Linked DNA regions of Tamandua tetradactyla. Each later gene encodes a partner of the first gene's protein in a complex. Links are inferred from orthologs where the notes say so. Each region holds a gene or a part of one and is shown on either strand. Other genes may lie near its edges. The genes, in order: LRRK2 and RAB29.

Region 1 (11,609 bases):
AAGTCCATTGTGTAAACATATGCAATGTGTTAATAGATATTTAAGTAGTTTTCATTTTCTCTAAAAGCAAAAATGCTGCACTGAACATTTTATACAAGTCTCCTTATGCACGTGTGAGAGTTTCTCCAGGGAGTATCATTGTAGCGAAGGTGCTGGGCCATAGCAAGCATACACCTTCAGCATTCCTAGCTTTTGCCGTATTACTCTCCAAAGTGACTATTATGACTTATATGCCCACCAGGATTGTAGAAGTACTCTAGTTGCTACACATCACATGCCAATAATTGGTATCAAACTTTAAAATTTTGGTTAAACTGAGAGATGTGAAATGACATCTCATTTTGGTTTAATTTGCATTTCCTTGATTACTTGTAGGGTTGAGAGATCTTTCCTTAGGTTTATTGGCCATTTCTTTCTTCTGCAAATTGCCTTTTATATCCATGCTTATTTTACAACAAAGCTATTTATCTTTTCCTTTATGATTTGTGATAGTTCTTTTTGTATATTCTTATTATTAATCTCTTCTTGGTTTCATACATTGCAAAAATCTTCTTACAGCTGATTATCCTTTAACTTTGCTGATGGGATTTTTTTATGTACCAGGTTTTAAATTTTAACGTAGCTGAATTTAACAGTTTTTTTCCTTTAGGGGTTGTGTTTTTTATGGCTCATATTTCCCTACCTTAAGATCATAAACATAGTTTCCTACATTTTTTCCCCAAACTTTTGAAGTTTCATTTTTCATATAAAAAAATCTTTAATCTACTTTATTTTGGGGTATTGCTTATGGGATTTTTTGGGTGCAATGCATGATTTTATGTTTTTCCATAACTAATTGTCCCAGAAACATTTATCAAATAATACCTTCTCTTTCCACTGATATGCAATATGTCTCTCAGATGCCATTTCTGTATACGTAAGGGTGTGTTTCTGGGTCCTCTATACTTTTTCACTGGTCGCTTTGGTAACTGTGCCAATAACATGCCAATTGATTTCTATAGCTTCGTAAGATGACAATGCATACTTCATATACTGTACAAGCTGTGCCCTACACATTTGCACAGTCTGAGAGAATAGGTGGAGTCTGAAATCCAAATCCTGTTTGGTTCACCCTGGCATGGGGCTGAGTCCGCCTGGAGGGAGGGGCCCATTTTTCTAACTCACAGGAAGACATTGTCTGCTGAACAAACTCTGAGCCTCTGGGTCTATGTACACTTCCTCCCCACAGGGGTGCTTTGTCCTACTCTGGTGAATTGATAAGATATAGGCAAGTAGAAGCAACTGTGGAATGTCTTTCTTTCTTCAATGTTTTATAAAACACTTATGCTTGCAACTTTTTTTTTTTCAGCTTGCCAATTGTTTTTTAATTTCATTTGTGGTTTTACTTTGACTGTAGAAAATTCAATTTTTTATGGAGACACATATTTCAATCTCCTGTGTTTCTTTCTTTATGTCTCCTCATACCAAGATTAAATAACTATTACTCTATATTTTCTTCCCAAAGCTATTTTCATTTAACTTTTAATCCATCTTTAATATGTTTTGATATTTTCTATAAATTAGCAGTGTCAGTTTTATTGTTTCTTCCCAAGAAGTTAAACAAATATTCTAGCACTGAATGCCACCTTTATCATGAATTTGTGCCTGCAGCAATTTTTTATTTTCAGTTTTGGTAATTTCTTGAAGAGTTGTTAAGTTTTGGGATTTTATTCGATCAATTAAGAATTTTTGAAAGCTAAGAGGACATTTTTTCCTACTATGGTAGGAGTTTATAGAAGGAAGCTCTCAACAGAAAATTAATGGCCCCATATTTTTCAGTTTGCTAAAGCTGCCAGAATGCAATATACCAGAAATGGGTTGGTTTTTACAATGAGGATTTATTAATTTACAAATTTACAGTTCTAAGTCTGTGAAATGTCCAAATTAAGGCAGCAATAGGATGACACCTTCTCTAAAGAAAGGCTGTTGGCATCTGGGATTCCTCTGTCTTATGAGAAAGAACATGCTGGTATCTGCTGGTTCTTTGTTCCCAGCTTATGTTGCTTCCAGCTTCTGGTCCCAGTGGCTTTTTCTTACAGGTCCTGTGGGTTCTTCTTGCTTCTCTGGGTGCTTCTCTCTCTCCAAATGTCTCTTATCCTCTCATAAAGGACTCTAGTAAAGGATTAAGACCCACCTTAAGTTGAGTGGGTCAAACCAAAAGTACCTTTCTTCACCTTTGGACACATTTTACTCTCACATCTACTTTTTCAGACTGAGCTGTCACTACTACTTAGGAATTGAAATCTTCATATAATCACTTTACACTGAAATTTGGTCATCTAAGTTTGTATGATATGAGGTGGGGATTTTAACTGGGGGTGGGGGGAGAAAAATTGTCATCCCTCTAAAATAACTATCATGGAAAAAAAGTAGGAACAACATGTAAAGGCAGCAGTCATGGTGGCCTTTAGGAAAAATGGAGCAGAGAAGCTCTGTGAGCAAAGCTCATTTATTTCAAATAAATGGATTTTTAAAAGTGGATTGACATCTGACATTAATATTTATTCTAACAAGTTACCTAACAACTGAAGTTATTGATTCCTATGTAGATTGTTATAATTATTGGATGCAAAGATAATAAATATTTCTGGCTTGGACTTTTGAAACAGTTTGCATATTGTAAGCACAGTTTCAATGAAACATACTTTGAAGCAAAAAAAAAAATTGGGTGGGTCATGCCTCAATTGAAATAACATATCAAAAGATTTCATTTACAATAGTTCTGCTGCCACAGGAATGGATTAAAAGAACATGGCCTTTTCAGGGTACATGACAGTTTCAAACCAGCATACTCTGCCTCTGGACCCTAAAAGGACATGTTCTTTCCATATGCAAAATACATTCATCCCATTACAATATCACAAAAACCTTAAATTATTTCAGTAACAATATTAAGTATAAAGTCTCATCAAAATCAGTTACAGGTGTGGCATATCCTAAGGCAAAATTCTCCTCTGGCTGTGGAACTTAGAACAAGTTATCTGCTTCCAATATACAGAGGAGAAACAGTCATAGGATAGATGTTCCCATTTCCATGGAGAGAGATTGGAAGGAAAATAGGCATCAAAGTTCTGAAACAGTTCTGAAAAACTGAAGGGCATACTTCATTAGATTTTAAGATCTGAGAGTCAGCTATAGAATGACATTTTGTCTTGAGGCTTGAGAGAGCAACAGTCCTACCCTTTCCATGGTCTTGCACAGTGCACAGCAGCCCTGCTTTCTCCAAACACTAGGCTGAGGGATCCAATATCTCCAAACATTGGGGAGACAGATATATTTTCCATTCCACCCTCTTCAAGCATCTGAGTGGCAGCTAGACTCTCTGTCATCTCTAGGCACAGGCTCACCCTTCTCTGAACAGTGGGGTTGTGGCCAGGGTCTCCCCAGTCCCTGGAGAATGTGCTCCACCTTCTCAGAGGGCTGAGGAGGCAACATTCTTCCTGAACAATAGGGCAGCCAAGCTCCCCTCAACTTCCCAGGCATCTGAGAGCCATGAGGTAATACTCTTCTTGTACAATGGGTGGGAGGCCCATTCTCTGCAAACTCTGGGACTCACCCATTCCACATGCATGGGTGGGTCCACTATCCTGGTCCAAGATTTCTTTGTACCAGATATCAGTTCCCATGGTTCTGCCTTTGAAGTAATTTTTCCTTCAATCTCTTCCTTTTCTATCTCCCTTTAGCCCACACTGGCAGTGGTTCTGTTCACACAGATCTTGCAAAAAATTTGTTGGCTTCACATGCAACACACAGGAGTCCTAACTGTCAGACAATAAGACTTTCCATAAATCATTTCTGAATAGCTGCATTTTCAATACAGGCTTGTCCTGAAACGGCTGGCTGTTTGCCTATTCGGTTAATCCTCATAAAACATACATAATCAGTAATTCACAATATCATCACTTAGTTGCATATTCATCATTTCTTAGAACAGTTGCATCGATTTAGAAAAAGAAATAAAAAGATAACAGAAAAAGAAATAAAATGATAACAGAGAAAAAAAAGTTATACATACCATACCCCTTACCCCTCGCTTTCATTGATCACTAGCATTTAAACTAAATTTATTTTAGCATTTGTTCCCCCTATTATTTATTTTTATTCCATATGTTCTACTCCTTTGTTGACAAGGTAGATAAAAGGAGCATCAGACACAAGGTTTTCACAATAACACAGTCACATTGTGACAGCTGTATCATTATTCAATCATCCTCAAGAAACATGGCTACTGGAACACAGCTCTACATTTTCAGGCAGTTCCCTCCAGCCTCTCCATAATATCTTGAATAACAAGATGACATCTACTTGATGCATAAGAGTAACCTCCAGGATAACCTCTCGACTCTGTTTGGAATCTCTCAGCCATTGACACTTTGTCTCATTTCCCTCTTCCCCCTTTTGGTTGAGAAGGTTTTCTCAATCCCTTGATGCTAAGTCTCAGCTCATTCTAGGGTTTTTCTCAATCCCTTGATGCTGAGTCTCCGTTCATTCCAAGATCTCTGTCCCAAGTTGCCAGGAAGGTCCACACCCCTGGGAGTTATGTCCCACGTAGAGAGGGGTAGGGTGGTGAGACTGCTCATTGCGTTGGCTGGAGAGAGGGGCCACATCTGAGCAAAAAAAGAGGCTCTCTTGGGGGTGACTCTTAGGCCTAAATTTTAAGTAGACTTGACCTATCCTTTGTGGGGTTAAGTTTCATATGAACAAACCCCAAGACTGGGGGCTCTGCCTATAGTTTTGGTTGTCCACACTGCTTGTGAGAATATCAAGAATTCAACTTGGGGAAGTTGAATTTCTCCCCATTCTCACCACTCCCCGAAGGGGGCTTTGCAGATACTTTTCCACTCACTGATTGAATCATTCTGGGATTCATCGGGGCATCACTCTGGACAAACCAGCAAAATCTCATGTCCTACCTGAGATTCCAAGTACTTATGGCATTCAATCAAACTATCTACATAAGTTATATTAGGAGATGCACTAGTCAAAATATAAATTTTGTAACAAACATTTTTTGCTTTAGTCTCACACAGAAGGTGACATTTTAAAATATTAATTACCATTTATTTTCAATACCCTGCAATAATGACATTCCTTTGTTCTTCCTCATGCAAAAACATTTTTAAAATTGTACCTTGTACATTTCACTATTAGCATACACTCTAGGCATTGCTAGAAAATCACCTACTCTTATTCTGGTTAATATAGAGTAGAAAATAAATAGATAACGGATGGATGAATATCAATTGAGGAAAAGAGGAAGTTCCTTTTCTATTTAAATTTACCTTCTCTTAGAAAGGAGCTGTACTTTCATTTCTTGTATGATAATAATCCAGTAGACTGAGAAGGGAAAACTGATGCAGAAGAAGGTGTAAGGAAGGTATGAAGGGAGAATTGATAGGAAAGTTTGATATCCATTATGTAGTCAGAAGTCAAAGAAGTTCAGAAGCCAGTTAATAAGAGATATATTGCAGATACGATAAAGATTACAAAGCAGAGATTTTTTTTTAAGTTTTCATTATGGAAATTGTCTTTATTATAAAAGGTAGAGAGAATAGTATGAGAACTCCCAAGAACCCATCTGCAACAATTTTTAATTCAAAGTTAATATTGTTTCATTTATACCTCCATGCACTTTATCTCTTCTCCCACTATTATATTACTTCGAAGTAAATATTAACCATTATATCATTTCAGTTGTAAATATTTTATCATGAATCTGTAAAAGATAGAAATCTCTTTATAACAATAATAAAACATTTATGAAACATACTCATACTATCATAATCATTAATACTGCCAATTTGCTACTTTACTCACATAATGATTACGGAATGCTATCTCATTTTGATTAAAGTAACAGATTGTGAAGAACCCTGAATTTGGTGTTAAGAGATTGACATGAGTTTAAATCCCAAATCTCAACTTGCAAATTGTGTGAATGGGGCAAATCTCCTCACCGAACATCTCCGAATATCAATTTTCTCATTAATAAAGAATGATAAGTAATAGCTGTCTTATCCATTTCACAGTTGTCATCAGCATAAACAAGTTAGGGGACATGAAAGGAATCTAAAATTGTGAAGTACTAACTTCCAGTCCAGTCTTTTCCTTTATGAATGACGCTGAGGATAGAACACCTGTGTCCAGCCGTCTACAGAGCTTTTTAAGTAGATTTCCTTTTGTGAACAACATATGACTTTGGTACATTTTTTTTTTAACTTTAGAGTTGTTAATGCCCATATTCTTAAGTCTGAACAGCAGAGCTGCAAAATTTAGTTTTTGTTCTTTCATCTTTTCTACAGGTCATTTCATTTACCTTGTCTTTCTCTTTACTCATAAAAGCACTGGTTGATTACTTGTTGGTGTGCCCCAATTATCAGGATCCGACCTAGGCAAACTCAAAAGTTAATTAATTTCAGAGCCGTTTTGGCCACCAGAACTTCAGATAACTAACAAGGAAGACACATTTTATTTCCTCCCCTACAAACAGGTAGAATTTAAGAGTCACATAAAACAATTTAGCCGGGCAAATTTTGATTGCTAAAACGTCGCTCCATCTGGGGGGGTGGGGGTGGGAATGACTCATCTCCCTCTAGGGGGAACCCTAAAGAGAATGCTTCCCTTAAAGGGCCAACTGGGCGGCGTCCTTTTTCTCCTACGCCCTGATTTCTATTCTTAGATTTGGAGTTAGGCGGCTTTCACTTTTGCTTTTCCTGGTTTCCAAACCTTCTTGGGGCTAAAGGAGTCCAGGTTGGCGGGTCCGGGAGGGTGGCGGGCTCCAGCAGCAGCCTGCGCGCCTCCTCCGCACCCGGCCGCGGGTACTCGGCGAAGTTCGCTGAGTCAGTTTGTTCCTGCGCGACTGCGGTAGTGGCGCCGCGGCTGAGGAATCCGGACAGACGAAACGGCGCCCGTCGCGGGTACCGTAGCGGAGCACGCGCGGGTCACGGTTCCCGTCGGCCCGGCCCGGCCCGGCTCACGCGGGTCGAGCCCAGCCTGGACCACCAGGCAGCGATTTTGCGCGGCGCGTCGCGTCGCCTCAGCCGAGCCTCCGGCAGGCCACAGCTCGTTTTTTTTTTTTTTTGGAGCGGGGGTTTGGAGGAAGCAGGGGAGGAGGGCTCGGGGAGAGGAAGGGGAGTGCAAGGCGGAGAGACGTCGCTTTCCTCATCAACAAGCGGGCGTGGGCAGATGGGGCCGGCGGGTAGTGCCGGCTGCGGGCGGTGAGTTGTGCTCGCCCCGGGGAGCAGTGGCCTGCGCCCGGAACCGCTCCCTGAGCAGCCCGGCATTCGTGCACGGAGGGGCGGCGGGTGTGGAGCGGGGTCCACCATGGCCAGTGGCAGCTGTCAGGGGTCCGAGGAGGAGGACGAGGAAACTCTGAAGAAGTTGATAGTTAGGCTGAAAAATGTCCAGGAAGGAAAACAGATAGAGACGCTCGTCCAAATCCTGGAGGATATGCTGGTGTTCACCTTCGCCGACCACGGTAATCATTTGCAAGGGACCTGTTCCTCACCCCCCCACCCCCACCCCCACCCCCGTCACACACGCACACATACACACACGCACACATTTGCAAACTTTATTCCCTGCTCTTTGGATCTCTACTCAGGCCACGACTTTTAAGAAGTGGCCAATTCCCTGTTCCTTTCCCTGAGACAGAGAAGGGAATTGGAAATTTCAGGAAAGTCTTGGGGCCTCTTTTGCTGTCCCCCACCCCCTTCAGATTTTAAAAGGGCTTCGTGAATCATAATTTTGCTTCTTTCCCCCCACCCGCTTCTTTTCCAGCCTCCAAATTATTTCAAGGCAAAAATGTCCATGTGCCTCTCTTGATTGTCTTGGACTCATACATGAGAGTCGCGAGTGTGCAGCAGGTAAAAGAGTTTTCTTTGTGTCCAGTTCCCCTTCTGCTTGGAAAGAGATGATTTTCTGTCATTACATACTCGGAGTTCTTGTTATTTCTGAGATTTGCCTTGGTCAACCGCTGACCGTGATTTGAAGATGGCAGCATTGCCCAATTATTATCAAATGCTAACTGTGGGTCTACTTTAAGAAGTAACTTTATAATACCAACCGACAGAATATGTACGGGAATTGACAGGAGTAATAATGGGTTGAGATCTAGTTTTGTTATCGCCTAGATGAGCTCATTAGTGTTCACATCAGATTAGTCTAAGAATCTTCCCAGAGCACAGTCTTGTCCTAGATATGACATCCCTGTTAATAGTTTGGAAAAGGGGTATAATTGACAGCAATAAAATGCAACTGAGGAACTCTCTTAGGTGTCAAGAGATTTTTTTTTTATTTGAAGACTGTTAGATTTGTGGTTTTGTTAGTAGTTTACCTTATCATATCTAAAGACAGTGCTTTGATTCCCTTATGTGTTTAAATTTATACTTTGTACTGTAGCAGTTTTCATGTAAAATGAGTTAACCTGAAACTTTTAGAATTCTTGTAATAGGAAACCTAGAGATTTGCTAAATAACTTGGATATATTAAATAGGGAGCTCTAAGATGACAATTAAGGATAATTTGCAGTCAAAACAGAATTACCGCATAACGTGATAACTTTTTTGAGTGCATTTTGAGATTTGGGAACTGAAATCAGTTTTGTTGTTCACATGTTAAATCCTGAAGAGAAAGAAAACAGAACTTTGGACTCCAAGGGGCAGTTAGAAAACCACTGTTTCTTAATGCTTATTTGAGAGGCTAGACATATGTAAGAATTATCTCTATTGCTAAATCTGTATCTTTACCTCTATGCCTATTTTTGTATCCATCTCTATAAAATCAGGGTGACCCAATATATCTAACTTCCTTTATATAAGAACATTTATATCTAGGATGAATCGTTACTTTTATTTTCCTTAAACTGTAAATTTTTTTCCATCTGACTATTAATTTTCAGGCTGCTATGAAACAAAACCAAGCAAAGATAGAGGCATGATAAAGCTGCTTGTTCTTTTTCAGTACTTGAAGTCTGAATTTTGCCCATGGAATATTTGTGTTGCTGCTTTTCACCCACATTTTCTCTTCTAACTTGCCTCTGCTTTGGTGTTCACAAGTGACTTCTAGCACTCTCCGTTTTCTGGATTTGTGCTTGTTTTAGTTCTCCCCGCCCCTCACCCTGCTCAGTCAACTTGGGAAAGTTGGACCCTGGGTGAGATTTGGTCTTCAGGGTCCTGAGGAGGCCATGCTAGAACTCAAGGGAACTCAAAACATACCAGTCACCTGGTTCTTATTCACGTCAGAAAACTTAAACCTGGTCCTCACTTCTCTGGAGTAGTTATGAATGTTACCCACTGTTCTTGTCTAGTGGGAACCAGAGGCAAAGTATGTTGGGAAATAAGGCATTGCCTTCTGAGTTGATAATGCAATGGCATAGAATTATTAATTACAGCACCATATATGCATATGTCTGCAAACATTATGTATGTTACATCATTTGATTCTCACTGGAGTCTCACTGTCACCTCAGAAATCTCACTGGATAATTTCCCCTCATGGTAATTCTGTGAGAGTAAGTAACTTATTTAGGACCACAGAGCTAGTGACAGAACCAGGGCATAAATGTGAGTCTTCTCACATCTTCAGAAATCTCTTTCCATTATACAGTCCACTGCTGTTGAATTTGCAGAGTTTTCATGCCCACGGTTTAATACTTCATTTAAAAGAAAATAGTTTTTTGTCTTTCAAATTTCTTCTATTGATAGGTTTAATTAGTACAGGTATCATCTAATGTTTTATATGTTGAATTAGCTGGACCTCCTAAATTAGAAGTTCTTAATTGATGAACTTAAGTTATAGTAAATGGACTCTTGATTACTCTTCAATAATAAATATTAAGGTTTGTTTCTGGAAGTTATGTAACATGATATTCTAGACTCTGAATTTTGTTCTTGAGGTCTTTTCATTATTTATAAATAATCTTCAATAAATGTCTATATTTAGAGGATTAGTAGTTAGGCTAGCTGCCTTGAAATTATCTTTTCCTGCCAATCATCTGATCATTTTAATTTATTCCCTGCACTCCTCAATTTTCATTACTTCTCTTTATCCACATAGTTTCAGGCTTTGAAAAAGAAGCAAAATAAATGAAAGTGACTAAAATTATATTTAACCACTAGAATATTTCCCATTGAGCACAAATTAAGGGCTTGAGTTTAAAGAATAATTATAATAAAATGAAACTACCAATTTAATTGTACTTTAATTATGCAGCATGGAAGCCTCTCCTTGAAAGATAAGCTCTTAATTGAACAGATTAATGAATCCATTGTTACTCTGATTTGCTGCCAGAGACTCTGTTTACTCATAAGAGTTTCACATAGTGACTGAAAACTCAAAAAAGCAATAACTGATGCTATTGCTTTACCGACCAAAAAAACAGGTGTTTTCTTTGAGTCAGTCATGCAGGTACAGAGATGAGTTCAGCATCCATGTGACCCATTCTCCTGTCCCCCCAAAGTTTTCAGACCCGGAAGTTGTTCAGAATGTTATTTTTCTTAAATATGTGGGAACGTTTCAATACATTTTATGAAACCACAGAAATAGCTGGTTTCTATGACAGCTGAATTGTCAGCTTAAGTGGAGGAGGATGTCCTACTTAAATATAAGGTAAAAATAACTCAAAAATTGCCTTTTCAAGCAATTTAAAATTATATAAAAGGAAGCAGTGACAGAGTAAAGCAATTCATGCTTAATATGGAAAAGATCCGGAAATAATATTGTGAAGAGATCTTGTATATCTTTTGTTTTTTTTATCTTTGTGAAATACCCCTTGTTTATTCCTGTAAACAAGGGCTCTAGGTACCTCTGTTCCTTACTGAATATACATAAATTCCTTACCATGCCATTCAACTCTCTTCATCTTTCAACTCCACTAGTAGTCGGTCTTATCTGGCAATATTTCGTACCCCTTACCCTTTAACACCTTTCTCCCTTCATAGCTCATGAGCTTTAGAAGATTCTATTTGCCTATTTTGTACAACCATATTTATAATTCTTTTGAAATTTATATGAAAAGTCCTATCTCTTCCATATAATATTCTTCTCTACATTATTGTACTTCACTGTGACTCTCACTTTCAGAATTTATATTATAGTATTTGTCATGTAATCTCATATTTAGATACTTCATTAATCTTTAGATGCTAAATATGTATGCATTTTCTGTTTTCTTGGTTTGTTCCTGACCATACCAAGTATAGTTCTATAATGCAATAGAATGGATTGAAGATTCTTTTAATTTAGAGAAGAATAGATAGTAGGAAGATTGGGTTTAATTTTAACTCCAGTTTCAAAACAGGACCTCATCTTTTTTTCACAGGTAAAAAGCAATTTATTTAAGTTGGTTTCAAGTGTAAATGGACTGAATGAATATACCTAAAAGGTATTAATAAGATAATGTTTCGTCTGGGAATGGGAAAAGTTCATGGGAGTTCTGTAATCTGCTCTAGACTTCATCCACTCATATTTAGGCATTCTGGAGAAATCTAGGTGGGGGGAAAATTGAAGAATTATACTTCCTCTCTAAATAACAGTTCCTTTCTCTTTATCCTGTAACTGATACAGTTTCA
Region 2 (11,446 bases), on another chromosome or scaffold:
TACTTTGTATATATGTTATATTAAATGATAAAAAGGCTAAAAAATCAAAATTTAAAAAGTTGATAAGTAAAGGGTAAAAAAGGGAGAAGCAAATACCGATAGGAGATGTGATAGTAACAGAGCAAGGCTGATCAGTTTCTCCAGTTTCCAACACATTGTGTTTCTAACATGTATATGCAAATCAGTTGTTTGGCACTCTGAATGTGTTTTCTCTCCCTTATTAATAACTGTCTCTCTGGGAAAGTACCATCAGAATTGCATGTTATTATTGAAGAACTATGCCCCCACCTTTACCAAATGAATGGCCATTCCTTTTATAGAAATTCTATGACTTGGGGGCGCACTAGTAATTTGCTAATCTTCCCTCTTACATCTTCACTCCCCACATTTTCTGATTTGGGAAACTAAGGGTGGTTTCTTCCCCCACATGACCAGGGCTAAATCCAAAATTTTGTATTTGAATACCTGCTTTCAAAAAATAACAGAAAAATAAAAAAATTAAAGAAACAAACAACAACCACAAAATGAATCCCTATTTCCTTCTAAATATATTGATAGCTTATGTGAGATAATTGTAAGCTGGTAACATGGTTAAATAACCAAAAGTCAAAAAGATTGTAAATACTACAGGTGATCAATAAGGGAAATGGTCATCCATAAAGTGATACTTAAGTCAGGCCTTAAAGCAGCATTTCTCAAAGTGAAATCTGGCATAAAATTCACCTAGGTACTTGCCAAAAATGTGGATCCCCCTGGGACCTTACCACAGCCCTGTAAAATCAGAATGTCCATATATAGCCAATGCCCCAGGTGAGTCTTAAGCACTTAAAGTTTGAGAACTTAAAGTATGGTGTTTCAGTTTGCCTAAACTGGTAGAATATAATATACCAGAAATGGATTAGCTTTTACAAAGGGAATTTATTAAGTTACAAGTTACAATTCTAAGGCTGTGAAAAGGTCCAAATTAAGACACCAACAAGAGCATACCTTCTTGGAGGAAAGACAGCTGGCATTGGGGCTCTTCTGTCACACCGAAAGGCACATGGTTACATCTGCTGTCCTATCCTGCCTTCTGGTTTCAAATGGCTCTCTCAGCTCCCAGGGGGCCTTCTTCCTTCTCCCCAGGGCATTTTCTTTCTCTCTTAGCTTCTCTAAACTCTCAGTTATCATAAAGGACCTCAGCAAGTGGATTAAGACCAACTTTAAATGGGCAGTGTCACATCTCCATGGAAACAACTTAATCAAAAGTTCTCACCCCACAATAGGTCTGCACCACGAGATTGAATTAGACATGTGGTAAGATCAGATGGGTGCAAAGAAGCTTAAAAGGCATTCAGATAGGCACTCTGGACAAAGAACAAAAAAGCAAAAGTGAGATGGACTTTTCAAGGTATAGGAACCTCAAAAAGCAAATGGCAGAGTGGCATCTGCATCCTGTGACTCCTGGAGTTTGGGCCAGGAGCCGAGGGGAGCCGGAAAGTGAGGCACGCATTGCCGGGGCCCGAGCCGGAACACAGCATAGGCACCTGTGGAGCTGAGCTGTACTGCCCTTGTTGCTCAGGTGCTCATCCTGGTCCCCTGTGGTCACCACAGCTGCTGAGACTGGCATGTGCTGATATTACTGCATTTGCAGGGTTCAAGGAAACCTGGAGCCAGACCTTTATTTCTTGTCTACTACGTTCAGCACCATGGTTCTCAAAGCCAAACACCAGAGCACCCAAGAAGGTTTAACATGAATGGTCATGTATGGCATACTCTCTGTTAAGCAAGAGGCCACAGACTCAGGGGAACCTGCTGCCATCCCCTCCTACATGGGACATGACTCCCAGGGTGTGAATCTCCCTGGCAACGGGACAGAAATTCCAGGATGAGCTGGGACCTGGCATCAAGGGATTGAGAAAACCTTCTTGACCAAAAGGGGGAAGAGAGAAATGAGACAAAATAAAGTGTTAGTGGCTAAGAGATTTCAAACAGAGTCGAGAGGTTATCCTGGAGGTTATTCTTACGCATTGTATAGATAATGCATAAGTTTATGGTGTATTTTCAGTTTATGGTGTATTTGAGTGGCTAGGGGGAATTACCTGAAACTATAGAGCTGTGCTCCAATAGCCTTGTTTCTTGAAGGTGACTGTATGAAGATATAACATTTATAATGTGACTGTGTGTATTAGCTAGGGTTCTCTAAAGAAACAGAACCAGCAGGAACCTCTGCAAATATAAAATCTATAAAAGTGTCTCATGAAACTGTGGGGATGCAGAGTCCAAGGTCTGTAGGGTAGGCCACAAGCTGGCAGCTCCAATGAAGGTCCTCAATGAACTCTCAGGAGAGGCTAGCTGGCTGAAGCAGGAAGAGTGATCATCTCTTCTGAGTCCTCCTTAAAAGCATTCTGATTAGCTTAAGCGTCACTCATTGCAGAAGACACTCCCCTTAGCTAATTGCAAATGCTAAGGGAAAAAAAACACGTTAAAAGCCTTCTGGTGATTAGATTAAGCATCACTCATTGCAGAAGACACTCCCCTTAGCTGATTGCAAATGCTAAGAAAAAAAAAGAGGTCTGTGACCTCTTTTATTTTTCCAGTTAAGCATTTATTTTTGTTTTTGTTCTTTAAAAATTGTTTATTGACAAAACAACATACAAACATAAACATTCTTAACATACAAACATTCCATACATGGTGTACAATCAATGGCTCACAATATCATCACATAGTTGTACATTCATCACCATGATCATTTTTAGAACATTTGCATCACTCAGAAAAAGAAATAAAAAGAAAAAAGAAAAAAAACATACCCATACCATACCCCCCTACCCCTCCCTCTCATTGAGCACTAGTATTTCCATTTACCCAGTATATTTTAACTTTTGTTCCCCCTATTATTTGTTTACTTTTTTATCCATATTTTTTACTCATCTTCCCATATTCTAGATAAAGGGACCATCAGACACAAGGTTTTCACAAGCACACAGTGTCATGGTCAGGTTCATTTCTCAATTTCACCAGATAATGGTGCCCAGTTGTCTGGTCAAGCAAGCACTGGCCTAATCCTTACTACAAGGACGTTTCGTGGACTTAAATCATCGGTTAGTTGATTGCATCTATGGCTGATTTAATCTACAGTTAACAAAGGGGACTGTCTTCTGCAATGAGAAAATCCAATCAACTGGATGTAATCCAATCAGTTGAGACCTTTAAGGGAAAGCTGTCAATTTCAGCAGTCAGAAGACAGAAGTTTTATCTCTACTTCAGCTGGCCAGCCTCTCCTGGGAATTCATTGACCATTGTTGCCAATTCTTGGCCTACCCTATGGAATTTGGACTCGTGCATCCCCACAGTTGCATGAGACACTTTTATAAAATCTCATATTTACCGTTATCTCCTCTTGGTTCTGTTTCCCTAGAGACACCTGACTAATATACCATCTAATCACATTGAGCCGATAAAGCCCAACAAGTATGGAGTCATTTTCTTCACACTGTTACCAGATGAGTTCTTCCAGATATCAGAAGGCCTTTTGCACAGAATACAGTTGGAGCCATTGGACCTCACGGTGAATAAGCAGAGCTCACCACATGTGGCTGGGAGCTCCCTTCTCCCACTGAAATTCCCGTCATCATACAGGGGAGCCTCATCTGGGCTGAGCGTGCCCTCGTCTAGTCCAGTGATGAAGCAGTACTCACCGCCTCCACCTGGAGTGCAAGCCCTTTGGCGTGCCGCTGTCCATGCCATGGTGCTGGCTGCTGCCCTCTCCTGGTATGAAATATGAAGCCCAGTAACACTGCCGGTCATACAGCCTGTCATGGTGCAACCCATGTATTTACATACGCCACTCACCTACAGCAGCTGCTCATGGTCTGCTTGTCGGAGGAGATGGAGAATTTAAATAGTAGCATGTTAGTACCTATAATTGAATTGTACGAGAAGCCTACATTACAGAAAAATAAAAATAAAAATAGAACCTGGGATTGAACCATAGAGGAAAGATTATTATCCTGAAAATATGTCACCCCCTTTAATGAACTCAGTCCCCCACCCCCCAAGCATTGTTGCAAGAGAATCATCCTTCAGTCATTATACAGCCTGGGAGGAGAACTTTACCTGTGGAATCTACAGATACCCAAAGGAAATGGAGGACATACAGATGTGATTATGATGTATGCAACAAAGCCTACATTAAAAGGTCTAAATTGAAAGTACACAGAAGATTATATACAGGAAAAAAAAACCTACAAATGTACATAGGAAGGATGTACATGGAAGGTTGCACGGTCTGATGAACTGACAAGACATTTCCAAAAACATACTGGAATCAAACCTTTGCAGTGTCCAGACTGTCGCCGTAGCTTCTCTTGATCTGACCATCTTGCCCTACACAGGAAACACCACATACTAACTTGAATGCCACCGTCTCCCACCACAGTATGACTCCCCACTCCTGGCTCTCTCTCTGTCCTCCCTCCAGGCATCAAGCTCATTTTTAAAAATTTATATTGTACATTTTATTTTTGGCATTTTGAATAAAATATTATCATTGTTTAAAATATATATATAGGGACCTCACCTTGTTGGCGGGAGGAAATGCCCATTTGAAATCAGTTGAGATGAAGTTAGTTAGATATAGGAGGCCACTGCATAGGAGGTGGCTCAGAAAGGTTGGCCAGTTTTTTGAAGACAGATGGTAGACCTTGAAGGAACAAACAATGCTGTTTCAGGAAAATCATCCTGGCAAGTGGTATAGAATGAACTGAAGAAAAACTTGAGTCAGGGAGACCAATGAACAGAATACTGAAGTAATCCAAAGCGGCACTAAAGCGGCACTGGGTATGGAGTAGAGAGGATGAATGGGAGAAACAGTTTTGAAGGAAGAACAGGTAGGATATGTTGGTTGATTTTAAAAGGGAACATGTGTAAAGGGACATGTGTAAAAGGAAATGTTAATACGCTTGAGGTTTGAAGCCTGAGTGAAGGGAAGAAATGATGAGGTCTGTAACCAAAATAGGGAAGTTGATAAAAGGAGCAGTTTTTGTGCTCAAGATGTAGTGAGAGGGAGGCTATGGCAGGTCCTCCAAGCGGAGAGGCCTTCTTGGCAGTTGGGCATAATTAATTAGAGATAAAGACATAAACAAAGTCAAGACAAGGGCATTTCACTAAAGTAAAAAGTTTTTAGAACAGGTTCAAGGACCAAGAATCAAGCTTTCACCTAAGGAAAGATGGGAGGGTGAGAAAAAACATGAAAGTGAAAGGTGAACATCAGGGAGGAGGAAGGATGACTACGAAACAACAGTGTCACAGAAGCCAAGCGAAAAATCGATTTTAAGGAATGAGTGGTCACAGCAAATAAAAAAGAGAGCAAAGGCCATTGGAAAGAGGCCTGAGACATCTTTAAAGATAAAGTAACCTAGCCTGACCTTATGTATCTGAAGGAACAAACATTTTGGGTTAAATAAGGGGTGAACCAGGCTGATGTTCTTTCCTTGCAGAAGGTAAGTGGTGGCCACTCTACCAAGAGACCTAAGCAGGATTTCGTGATGTAAGGCCCCTGGGCCGTTTTCCCATTGTCCTGCTGCTTCCACTTCTATTCCTGGAAAAAGCATAGAAAATGCAGCTCATTTTGCTTACCATGAAGCTCATGTCCTCTTACCTCCTGCCTAAAGGATAGGCAAGTCAGAAAACGTACAGCTTGAAAATGAAAACTATTTGCAAAACTGTAGTTTAATAGCGATTCATGAGCACATTAGTAAAAAATGGAGCAGGACTCCCAGTGTGCTCCAATTAGCTTTCAGCTCAAATGATATATTCCAGCTCAAATGATATATGTGATATGAGTACTACAGCTAGAATAGTGATTGTGGAAGTGAAAATGAAGAAGTTTCTTGGGGTTTTTTGTCTGTATTTTTGCTGTGGCTAGCTATTAAATGCTACAGCTTTGGGCATTGGATTTTTCTAAGGGTGGGTGTCTTCTCTGAAACTGCCCGGTATTAGGTCATATGGAAACTATGAAATCTAGTCTTCATATTAATACGGTCCTGAGCTTGCTTGTCTATTTGAAGGAATAAGAAATGGACTTCACTCGGAGCATGAGGGATAAAAGGTGAACTTTTATTAGTGGAATAATTCATGGAATTTTTAGAATAAATTTTAAGCTATGTTCCTTAAAGCCTTTCAAAATATGAGAACCATCTCCGGGCAGAATTTAGGCAAGTGAGATCACGTCGAGCAAACAGCCGTGGAAGGATCTTTTCATCCAGAATTAATTTCAAATAAGGTTTCAAGAGGGGATGAGTGATTCTGGGGTTTGTAAGCCACGAAACTTTTCGCAGGCTTTTAAAAACATGAATGGGGCAGAAACTACATTTCCCAGGAGGCTTTGCGGACGAGCGTCCGCACTCAGATAGTTCTCTTCCCGCGAGGTGAGGTGGGAAATGTAGTGCTGCAAGCGACCCTGCACGTGACGCGTGTGCGGAGGGAGGTGGAAAGTATCGTCGTTCCGGGCGGGCCAGGGTCTCGGAGTCGGCGTGTGGGGTGCTCCTTCTCCCGGCTTTTAGTTTATGCACCGAGAGGAGGGCCCCCGTTTTCTGGCCTCAGCCGTGGAATGAGCTGGCTTGTTGCTCTGGGAAGTGCCTGTGGCTGAGGCACCGCGGTGCCCCGTCCATTTCTTGGCAGCCGGGCCGGAGGGGAGAAGGTGCGAACCCGGGGCTCGGAGCCGGCGCCTGCGCCCCACCCAAGTTGCGGCCGCGCGGGGAGGAAGCGCGTATAGGTTGAGTGCCAAGTTTCCTTTTTTTTGCTTTCTCGTCAGAGCAGTCCCAACGGGCGATGGGCGAGAATGCCCGACTTCAGTTTGAAGAGGGTCCGAAGAGAAAGGTGTTAAAACAAACGACTCCCCAACTTCGCGCTTCCCTAAAACGCACACCCCGCTAGCCCGTCATGGGCAGCCGAGACCACCTGTTCAAAGTGCTGGTGGTGGGGGACGCCGCAGTGGGGAAGACGTCGCTGGTCCAGCGATATTCCCAGGACACTTTCAGCAAACACTACAAGTCCACGGTGGGAGGTGAGAGCTCGATGAGGGAAAGAGGGCTAGAGTGAGCGGGGTAGGAGCGGTGGGTGGTGAGTGGCGTCTTTGTGCCCTTCCTCTGGAAGGGTCAGGAAATACGTGTCCTAGATCCTGCAGGAAGTAATTGCTAGATGTTTGATTTGCTTGCTTCATTAAGATTTCCCAGTTAGGTTTTTCCAGCCTGGGCCCGCTGCCCGGAAAGAGACAGACAAGGGGAAGGTGTGAAATTGAGAAATGGGGAAGGGAGGATGCCACTGTGAGCAATTCCTGCGTTTTGCGGGCGAGCCGTGAACTCGAGTCTTCTCCTGCAGGCTTTGAAGCTATGACGGAAAAATCATAGTAAGCAACAGAGGCAGCCGAGACCCTGGGCCTAATTGGGCGCCAGCTGGGACTGTTGTCCTACCTACCATGGGAATTCCCGCCACCTGTTGAAGAAGGAACAGAAAGGTGTTTAACCTGTCCTTGAGGGGAGAACCTAGGACACTAATCTGATCTGACCCTCTGTAATGGAATGCCTAGGCAGGGGCCGAGACCCAGAATCTCTGATGGAGAGCCCCTGGGCGGCAGAATCAGATGCTTGCCAGCCTGAGCTGCCTGTTTGCGGTCCATTTATTGCTTACATTTATTGCTTAGAGACAACCTAGGAATTTTTTGAAGAATGCAAAATATGCCACTTCTCTGACCTATCTTCCCACCCCTTTCCCCTGAAAGGAAGGAAGGGGACACCAAGAGTTAATTCATTCTTTCCTAGGTGAGGCTTTGAACTCAACTGTTTTTTTTTTTCAGAGGTAGAGATGCCTTTTCCTTAATTAAAAGTGTTTAGCTGAAAAGAGATGCTGAAGGGGCAGAATAGTTTAAGCATTTATCTCTGTTAAAAGAACTTTTGTAGAGGAAAAAAAAAGTGTACTAATCTGAATGTTCATATGGAATTAAAATTTTTTCCCAAGCATTTACATTGCAATTAAAACATCCCTCTTTCCCTGGAAGAACATCTAGTAAAATAAAAAGTTTAAAATCTCAAAGAAAATTTCCTAACCACTCTTTGCTTCCCCTTCTAAATAATACGAGTTTCCCTATCTCATGAATTTAGGTTAAAAAGGTCCTACTAATTAACTTTTAGCAGTTGCTCTAGCTTGCATTTAGTAAAGAATATAATTGACTCCACTTTTTTCCCATTGCTTATTCTAAATTTCCTGTAACTTTTATTTCTATCACAGATGTGGAAAAATATATGTCCAAATCTCAGAAAATATCTTACTTCTCTCCTTGTCAGAAAGCTTTCCCCCCTGGATTGCTTATTCAGTCTTAGCTCATGGACTCTTCACCTCTAATGAAGATTGTACAGATATGGTAACAGATTTCAGCACAGCTCGTAAGCAGTATCCATACAGTGGTTTTTCTGGTTTTTTGCTTTTTGCCCCTGAGAATCCTGTCTGGAATAATTCCTACAGACTTATGGAGGATGTAGAATCCCCCAGGTGTGTTTTTCTCATAATAGAGTTGGAGTAGAAAACAACAGTGAAATTGAATGTGGAAGATGCTGCAGTGTCCACACTTACATCATTTTCCCCTCCCTTCCCATCAACCCTTCCATATTTAAAAGAAACTAAATTTCCCAGAAATTGTTTAACCTGAGATTAGGAGTTGTTTACATGATTACTACCACACCCCTGTACCCAGCCTTTGAGACAAGTAGTATCAAATAAATTGGTTTGACAGGAGAGTAAAAGCTGGAGACCCCTTTGGAGAGTGAATAGGAATTATCTGTCCCACTTAATGCCTGAGTGTGGGCTCTCCTTGACCTATTGAGGACTCAGAAATAAATGAGATTGCAGTTGTGTGTCCCTGGGCTTGTAACCGCATATTCCCTGGGTTTTTCCATGGCTTTATTAAAAGTAAATGTTATTAAAGCATAATACATATATATTTTCAGTGGATTTTGCTCTGAAGGTTCTCCAGTGGTCTGACTCGGAGATGGTGCGACTCCAGCTGTGGGATATTGCAGGTGAGCTGGAACAGCTAAATAGGAACAAGGAAAGAAATTTAGTTTACCCAGCAAGCTTGCAGAGAAAAAGTGGAGCAGCAAAGCCTGACTTTTTTTTTTTTTCTGAAACTGGAACGATTGAGTTGCTTTCAGGATACATAAGCTGAAAGTTTTGCCCCTGAACAGAGGTAGAGCATTCTGTGTGTGGCTGGAGCGGTTGGCTAGTAAGGTGGGTGGATTGTCCAGACCACAGGAAATGCTTTCACTGCAGGATAAGGGTACTTTTTCTAAGTTTTCAGCTGACCTTGGTGAGAAACAAGATACCTAGAAAATAGGGACAGTAATAATAGCTAACACTTATATACTAAGAACTCTTCTAAGTATTTTATATTCACTGACTCCTTAATCCTCATAATAACCCTATAAAGGAGCAACTACTTTTATCCCTACTTTATAGATAAGAAATGTGAACACTGAGAGCTTACTTTCCCCAGAGTCACATAGATGGTAAGTAGTAGAGTGGGGATCTGGACTCTTAACCATGATGCATACTATCCCATACCACAATGAAGGTAGAGAAGACAGGTGTCAGAGAAGGAACTGAGACTGGCTCTCAGGATCACCTCCTCCGGAGCCCTCTCCTCTCCCTGAACAGGACAGGAGCGCTTCACCTCCATGACCCGGCTATACTATCGAGATGCCTCTGCCTGTGTTATTATGTTTGATGTTACCAGTGCCACTAGCTTCAGCAATAGCCAGAGATGGAAACAGGACTTGGACAGCAAGCTCACACTGCCCAGTGGAGAGCCCGTGCCCTGCCTACTCTTGGCCAACAAGGTATGTGGTCAGCTTAGGAAAATGGCCCCTGACCTTCATCTGTGGTCAGAGAGTAAATGTATTTAAAATGCTCTCTGGTTCTGGATGCCAATTTCCCCTTCTGAAGTTGACAGAATCATCCCTTTCGCTTTTTGAGGGATGTTAAGGATGGGACTATTTTTGGAAAGAATGTCCACTGTAGATTTTAGATGCTGGTGTTCTTAGCCATTGGTCGTGGAATGTTTTAAAGTCGCAGGTATTTGAGCAATGTTCTTATTCCCAGGAAGTTTATGGGGTTGCCTTTTATTTATTCTCTCTGCTAGTGTGATCTGTCCCCTTGGGCAGTGAGCCGGGACCAGATTGACCGGTTCAGTAAAGAAAATGGTTTCATAGGTTGGACGGAAACATCAGTCAAGGAGAATAAAAATGTTAACGAGGCCATGAGGTGAGTAGTTCATGCTGTTCTGGGCATAGGCATGTGGGCTTATGCACCTTCCATGCCAATCCCATGGACCCTTTTTGTTGGTTGGTTTGTTTCTGAGAAAACGAGAACAGATCAAGCCATTGGAGTGCCAGCTTCTGAAGGTCAGGGATGCTGTCTTCCCTCTTGAGATAACTGGTGACTAAGGGACGCTTAAACCTGTTACTTTTCTGAATGTTGTCTGTGATAAGATGGACAGGGTCTGCCATTTCTCCCTTTTCTCCAGCCAGCTTCTCAGATGTATTTTTTGTTTACTTTTTAGAGTTCTCATTGAAAAGATGATGAGCAATTCCAGAGAAGACATCATGTCTTTGTCTACTCAAGGGAACTATATCAACCTGCAAACCAAGTCCTCCTCCAGCTGGACCTGCTGCTAGTAGTTAGTTTGACTTCTTGTTTTTCATTCCAGTTCTAGGAATCCCTTCTATCTCTTGCCTTTGGTTGCCCATCCGAAGTTTTATTAAGTCCTTTTGAACTGTCTCCTGATTATCCGGTAAAGAGACCCATCAACATTCAGAAGAGACACCTGGGACCCATGTGCATTTCTGCATCTCTTGGATGTTTGCTCTGACCTGACTTTGGTTGATGTGGCCAGTTAGTGCCTTCTGTATAAGGAGGATTATCTCATCCCTCAATTTGTTATCTGGAGTTTTGGTGGAAGGAGTAGATTTAAATTATGACTTTAAAAAATCATATTTTTCAGTTACTTTTGAATTTATTTTTCCATTTGATAGATATTAATATTATGATTAAGATTGAGAGGAAAACAAAATCAAATATCATTTCCCAAATTCCTCGTAACTCATTGCTTTCAGAGGCTTTCTCTCTTGGACTTTGATTTGAACATATGATTCGGGGTTGCAGAGGAGGGGAGCTGGACATCAATGGGTTTTGGGCTACTGTAGGTGACCCAAAAGTCACTATTTTCGAAGCTTCTAAAGTCATAATTAGCTTTCTCTTGTTTGGCTCTAAGAATAGTCATGCTTTTAAGTTACCTGTCTTGTGTGATGAGAGCATTTCTCTCCACATCATGGTTTCTAGTATCTAGTGTGAGGGCAAGGTTTGCAGGTTTCTGGGTTGATGTGCCTGATTCATAGTGCTACAAGTGATA

Evidence for each region.
Region 2: the proteins of LRRK2 (region 1) and RAB29 are in contact, whole or in part, in a cryo-EM structure (PDB 8FO2), measured with the Homo sapiens proteins. The link is inferred for Tamandua tetradactyla from reciprocal best matches to the Homo sapiens genes LRRK2 and RAB29. Residues at the interface, in NP_940980.4 of Homo sapiens: Arg361, Lys362, Arg399, Met402, Leu403, Leu406, Met407, His408, Leu437, Ser438, Lys439, Gly440, His442, Leu443, Asn444, Glu447; in NP_001129134.1 of Homo sapiens: Leu7, Val42, Asp43, Phe44, Ala45, Leu46, Arg58, Gln60, Trp62, Leu76, Tyr77.

The regions. Positions count from the first base shown.
Region 1 is NC_135333.1:99,677,094-99,688,702, forward strand, and holds the start of LRRK2 (leucine-rich repeat serine/threonine-protein kinase 2), read left to right. Parts: upstream 1-6,653; 5' UTR 6,654-7,362; coding exon 7,363-7,516; intron 7,517-7,818; coding exon 7,819-7,904; intron 7,905-11,609. UniProt on the Homo sapiens protein: Serine/threonine-protein kinase which phosphorylates a broad range of proteins involved in multiple processes such as neuronal plasticity, innate immunity, autophagy, and vesicle trafficking.
Region 2 is NC_135330.1:63,501,556-63,513,001, reverse strand, and holds the start of RAB29 (ras-related protein Rab-7L1), read left to right. Parts: upstream 1-6,429; 5' UTR 6,430-6,685; intron 6,686-6,799; exon of another isoform or gene 6,800-6,804; 5' UTR 6,805-6,927; coding exon 6,928-7,051; intron 7,052-8,987; coding exon 8,988-9,059; intron 9,060-9,693; coding exon 9,694-9,875; intron 9,876-10,177; coding exon 10,178-10,299; intron 10,300-10,597; coding exon 10,598-10,712; 3' UTR 10,713-11,446. UniProt on the Homo sapiens protein: The small GTPases Rab are key regulators in vesicle trafficking. Essential for maintaining the integrity of the endosome-trans-Golgi network structure.